2 linked regions of the Danio rerio genome follow. The protein of the gene in region 2 interacts with the protein of the main gene of each other region in a pairwise test. Links are inferred from orthologs where the notes say so. Each region holds a gene or a part of one and is shown on either strand. Other genes may lie near its edges.

Region 1 (3,115 bases), on a different chromosome or scaffold from region 2:
GGGTGAGGTTGTAAACAGCTGAAACAAAGAGTCGCAATAAACACAGACTCGATATGACTTAAGGTCTATAGTGACGATGTAATCGCTGACAACACTTCTGCTTTGGAGAAGCAAGTCGCTCTTGACAAGTAGTCAATTTATCTGCAGCACATGAGGCCGCTGTTTAGATAGTCCACAGCTCAACGAAAGCCTTAAACAAAGCTCATGACAGAATGTCGTAGAAGACGATGACAAGCTTTCAAAACAAATAGGCAGGGAAACAAAAGCAGCATCTACAAATATTAATCATGTGCACAGGTTGTCAACAAGCCCCCCTGCCATATTTGCAATCTCCTAAAATGCTTAAACCGTTAGGAATGCAAAGCTCCAGGATAATAAATATGTGAATATCTTAACAGGAGAAAGAAGAGATGATTTTGGAATATTAGCAAAGTGACAAAAAGATTAATACAAGTATAATATTTCTATTATTATTATTAATATATACATTCTTTCTTTCTATATATAATGCCCAAAACTACTTTACACTCTAGCCAATGGCTGCTGAGTGAAAACTGTGAAATTACTTAAATTAATCTTTAAGTTCATAATAATAATAATAATAATAATAATAATAATCATTAAATAATTGAATTATAACAATATACAATTGCATGTATAATAGGGCTGCACAATATACTGTTTCAACATCAATTTTGCAATGTGTGAATCAGCAATATTCATATCGCAGGATATGCAATGTCAAGTTTGTAGTTGATCAGCATCACAGTTCTGAACATGGGATTTGTGGAGTCATTGCAAAGTTTCACCCTAAAATAGAGTGTAATATTTTCATTTAGATGAATTTTTAAGACCTGTGACTGTGTATGATTTAAGCAAACCTAAACCAAAAGGTTATAAAGGTATATAAACCAAAATGAATTGTATTTAACTACTTGTACTATGAAGACTGTACACTATACATTGTTATTTTATCTGTTATTATAAAATTTCTATACCTTAATACTATTAGATTCCGCAGAAAACCATCACATGAATTTATATTTGTTCAATACAAAATGTAAAACTGTACAAAATGTAAAAACATGAATTCATTCCAAATGGAGTTATACGCCATCTTGTGAACTTACAGTGCTCAGCATAATTGAATACACCCCATTTTGAATATTTGTATCCATTTCTCAGTAAATATAGGCAATGTATTTTGGTGCATTTAAACAAAACAGATTTATAAAACAGATATATTTATTAAAAGAATATTTTAGTCACCAAACATGTTTACAAATTGTAAGATAATACAATTAAATTTAAGCAAATTAATGCAAAAAATATTTATATTTATTACCTACAAAATTTCAACAAAAATTTTCAGTTTTTTTTTGTTTCACTTAATTTTTTTTTCTGTTTTAAAATTTGTATTTAATATTTTTTATAACATATGAATTTGACTGTACTAGTTTTTGGACCGTTATCGTAAGTTATTTTGTTAGACAAGCTCCAGATTTGACTTCAGTACAGACTAGTCTAATGTTTATGCACACATATATTATTGTAAAGCTTCCTATTAAAAATTTAAAAGACAGATTTGTGAAGGGTGTACATATATATGCTGAGCACTGTATGTTACTATCGCAATATACATTGCAGACAAACTAAATATTGCAATATGAGTTTTAGTCCAACATCATGCAGCCTTAATAATAGAACTATAAAATGAGAAAAAAATTATATTTATGCTGTTTTTACTTTGCTTTATTTTGGCAAAAATTTGAGGGTTAATTTCTCATTGGAAATGCTTTTTTGGGGACAACAGATTTTGAAATCATTCTTTTCTCTTCTTTGTAAAAACTTTATTTTGCAGAGATTATTGTACTAATGTTTTGCTTCTTGTACTAATGTTTTGCTTCTTACACTGTCTTTACACACCTGAAACTTGCCTACAGCACTTATTCATTGTTGCTCTTATAGTTGTGTAAATTGCTTCCTTGTCCTCATTTGTAAGTCGCTTTGGATGAAAGTGTCTGCTAAATGACTAAATGTAACTGACAGTTTAATTGCAAAAACAGTTTACATACAACATTCGTTACAGATTTTATTTGACTCCTTTATGGGAAAAACAGCAATTGTGATTTTTAAAGATAATACAGATCCCCTTCACTCAGCTTTTGAAATGTTACCATCGGGACCAAGCTTAAAATGCATGGAACATGAAGAAATACTTATAAGAAGTCATTTATCCCTATTGCAGTTGTATTAAACCTTACCACTGTTTAATGTGAACGGTGCGGTTGTTAAGAATAATCTGGAGTAATATGTATGGGGCTAATATGGTTGTCTTGAAGAGTGTTGCTATTATGTTATTGTTGTACGGTTTATTTATGTTACCAGTGTAAAAGACAAATTTCCTTTCTGTGCCAAGCAGAAAAGATAATAATGTTTAAACTAAAATTAACATAATGTAGCTTTCAGAACTGAAGCCCTTTAATTTAAACAATTTACAGGGAAAAGGTTGAAAGTGATTTTCTATGCTCCTCAATTTTTCATTGTATTTGCAATCTCTTATATAATAGAAATGAATACATGCATGCCTGCTTCATAAAAGCTATATTGTCACCCTTCATCACATTTACTGTAGATGTTTTTAGAAACTGGTCAGAAATTCAGATTTTGGATTTTTTGTATTTATATTTTTGTAACAATTTACAGTGGTTCAGGCCATTTTTTGATTTAAGAACAAATTCCAAGCAAAAAAAAAAAAAGGCTAGACTTAAATTTATGCCGTTTATATTAAGTAATCCAACATGACAGATGATGTTGGCACATATCTAAATGTAATATATATTAATTTTACACCAATAAAAGTGTGTGCTTACTGTCAGTAGGCTTGAGGAGCTCAAAGTGTTGACCCAATACTTATTCCACAGCAGCTCTAGGAGTTTGCGGTCCAGGGAAGACTTAAAATAAGACACTTCTAATGCATAATACCTAAAAACAAACAACAGCTTATCGTTAACTGCAAGTCAATATATTTTCAAAATATAACAAGTGCATAAAAAGGCTAAAAAAAAGGAAATATATTCAATATGTCATGCACACTTACTGTTTGCAATGCACT
Region 2 (3,763 bases):
TACATGATATTATTATTTCAAATGACTAAAATGTGAATAAGTCACTTTGTGCACTTTTGATGTTAAAAATACAACAGAGGAGAGATCAACATAGCATAATGCAATTTGCCACCGCAAATAAACCCAAAACACACAAAATAGAGAAACTGTTCACTAATATATTTTTTACAGTGTAAGAGGACAAAGTAAAAGCACATGCATATCAGTATGTGTATGATGCTGAAATCACTACTGCAGAAAGTACAAGTAAAAATGGGTCAAAGCTGCTGCAGTGCTAAATCTGAAGTCAGACCCGCTTATGAAGGATACATACCTTAATAATACATTTAATGTTAGTCTAAATAATAATATCTGCCAATATGAACTGTGTTGCATATAAAAATTAAACAAGCGAGAAATGTTATGTAAATGCATTTCTTCACTGTATACAATAAAACTATAAAATCTTGCATAATCATTCTGCCTTTATTGCACCTGCTGCTTTTATAATGCATTCCAGAAAGCAATTATATTTTGCAAAGATACAATTCATTGTATAATAAAATATAAATCTATTTGTATAGTGCTTTTCACAATAATTCATTTCAAAGCAGCTTTACAAAAGGTGCACATTTCATTACAGTCAATTCAAAAAAAAGCTAAAATGTTGTAAACATAGTTGGGCTCATACACATTTTTACTACTAAAATTTCATGATTTTGCCAAGACTTTCATGTAAATGTTCATGACCTAATGTTTCATGCAATGTCTACATATGCGTGGTAAAAGAAAAGCAATGCATGTTCAAATTTATTAGAGCATAGCATAAAACATGCAACAATCCATTTACTTTCAATTTATATCCATGCAAAATTAATTTAGATAATGCTTACACCGCACTAATAATATGAGAGTATGTGATTGGCCAAGGACAGAAAATAAGAGAAAAGCCTATATTCAAGTATTTGTCATGACTTTTCTAAAACTGTGTAGGTTTTTCTGTTTTTCCAAAACTTTTCCAGGCCTGGAAAATGCCATGTAAAAATTCCATGACTTTTCCAGGTTTTCCATGACTGTATGAACACTGTATAACCTGCAGTTGTACAGGATGTGATGTCCTTCCCCCCCTAAAAAATATATTTACATGTAATAATAATACATGTTTAAAGTCATAATATAAGCAAATACAGTGTTCATATTCAATCAGAATTAAGAGTTTATCATGTTTTAAAGTTCTCATTTTCAACAGTTTCATATTGTTAGTCATTAAATAAGGTTTTAAGATGTCTAATTAAAGCAAGGATTTTTAATAAACATTTTATAGAGATGACACCCTCAAATTGTATAAATTTGGGTTGAACTCAAAAATATTGTTTTTCCTAGCGCTAGAAATCACACTTTTGACATTTCAAGCCCTGTTGTTAATTTTAATGACTGTGGTACACTAATAAACAGCTGTTTTGATGCTCAAATATGTATTCAATATCATAATATCAGCATTAGTCAGTGTACTAACGTAATGTGTTTACTGAAGCACCGAAACCGCGCGTACAGCTTGGCAGTGTCACAAACACCAGTGAACTGCCCACACAGAGTGTATTTTATAGTCAAAAGTACTGTCCATTCGAAACCAACCAATAATATATAATCTTCAAATATATCAGTATAGTGTCTATGTAGAAAACTCTGTATTTGACACACAGCCGTTTGTGTCAGTGAGCAGAGCTAATGCGCAGCTAACTCTCGCTAGCTCAGCTAACGTAACATCCATAAAAACGACAGAGTTGATAGATCAAGCATATACATATACACACACAACCCTTATGGCAATTATATAGTTACTTATGTTATTAAAAGTACATTTTAGCTGTCACTTGGCTTGAAACTCACCCTCGAGCAGGCGCTGAATGATGCTGTCTATGTTGAGTTTGTCGATGTCAGCCATGACTAGCCGATAAAAACACAAACACCACCGCTTAAAACACACCAGACACGACAGATAAAACGACTTCGATTAAAAACAAACTGGTTAATCACAAAACTCTAAAAGAAAAGATTAAAATGCTCGAGCGGGCCCGTTAGACGCGCGTGCTGCGGCGGTGGCGCACCGGCTCTGCGGAAGGACACGCAATTCGGCTCGGTTTCACCGCTGATGGAAACGGGAGGGCGGATGAACACAAAGGAAAGGAAGAAAAGTAGTGCGGAGGAAAGAGGAGGGCGTGCCGCTGACTTTCACAATAACGTGTGACGTTGAATGTTAATTGCAATGAAAAACTTTTAAAAACACATGTTTAAAACATATCCTACACATTAACATAATTATTTATTTTAACCAACAACGTCTTTTGGCATGCTGTTATTACAGTAGACCTAATACAAATATTATTTCATTTGAAAAAATTGCATTATGCATTTAATTTATGCTGATTCGGGTATACACATGTACTAGTATTACATTATTTGACAGTTCTGTTTATGTTAATTAACCAGATGCCTTGTCAACTGTTATTTATTATAATAACCTAATAAAAAATTATTAATTTTGGCATAAAATCTAGTTTTACAGTATTTGACATGACCTTTTATATTAACTAACCACATTTTTTTGTCAATTGTCATTCATTATAGTAAAAAAAATATTATTTAATTTGTAGTATTTTTGCATTAGAAATTAATTAATGCTGATTTTGGCATTAAAAAAAAACTAGTTTTATAGTATTTGACATTACTTTTCATGTTAACTAACCTCATCCTTTGTCAACTGTCAATACCATTACATATTTTGTCATTTGTGGTAAGGTATTTACTCAGTATGCATTTAATTCATGCTAATTTAGGTATTAAAAATACTACAGCATTGCAATGCAGGCCCGTAGCCAGCCTATTAAAAGGGTTCTCAAAAAGTGGAACTTTTTGCAGCTATTCGGCTCATTTTTATCAAATACATTGACATTTTAAGCACAAATTTTTGGATTAGCTTGTCGGATGGTTATCATTACAATACTTTTTGACGCAACAAATATTTTCCTATATTTTTGTCAAAGTGCTTACCATACTATTAACAAAAAATTGTGTTTATTTACAACTGTGCATTTAAAATTTACACTATTACTTTTTACAAATAATGTAATGAGATTAGAATTTAAATTAAACATTTTGAACTAAGAAATTCGAAAAAATACTTATTTTTTCAAATGCTAATTTATTATTATCCATCATAAAATAAGGAATCTGTTCAAAGTTGTTTTAAATTAAAAAACTTAAGCCTATATTTAGAGAAATTATCAACCTACGTCACAGGGGTTCCTGGTGTCAATAGTAATAGTTGTGCGGTAGGGTGCCAAATCCAACTTTTCAAATGCAGCTTAACATTTACCGTACACCACACTGCTTTAATGCCAACTGCAGACATATTTAGCTATAAGGGAGCTGAATGGAGTGAGGACCTAATTAGAAATGCTGGACTCTGCAGTTCTCATGTTATATCAGGTGAGTTCACGCTATGCTGAATCAGACACGTTACTGGTTTTTGATTGCAGCAAAAACAGTTCAATATGGTTAATTAAACTGCGGACACTGAATGCCTAGAATGAAATGTGTGTTCACATAACCTGCTGTACAGGTGTAGTTTGCTGTGAGAATGCAGTAGTTCTGCTTGTTGATGATTATCCAGGCCTTGTACAGCTCCGTCTTCTTTCCTTGTCTTTGGCTGGGCAGAACCTCAGTTTTCAGCTCTACAGTGTTGAATCTGGTTATCATGGAGTATTATTTCTTGCTCAGAGCA

Evidence for each region.
Region 1: the proteins of ppp1cc (region 2) and cops5 interact in a two-hybrid assay, tested with the Homo sapiens proteins (2 studies listed by BioGRID and IntAct). The link is inferred for Danio rerio from reciprocal best matches to the Homo sapiens genes PPP1CC and COPS5.

What each region holds. Positions count from the first base shown.
Region 1 is NC_133199.1:27,640,404-27,643,518, reverse strand, and holds part of cops5 (COP9 signalosome complex subunit 5), read right to left. Parts: coding exon 3,101-3,115; intron 2,986-3,100; coding exon 2,874-2,985; intron 1-2,873. UniProt on the Homo sapiens protein: Probable protease subunit of the COP9 signalosome complex (CSN), a complex involved in various cellular and developmental processes.
Region 2 is NC_133180.1:2,464,131-2,467,893, reverse strand, and holds the start of ppp1cc (serine/threonine-protein phosphatase PP1-gamma catalytic subunit A), read right to left. Parts: upstream 2,107-3,763; 5' UTR 1,925-2,106; coding exon 1,870-1,924; intron 1-1,869. UniProt on the Homo sapiens protein: Protein phosphatase that associates with over 200 regulatory proteins to form highly specific holoenzymes which dephosphorylate hundreds of biological targets.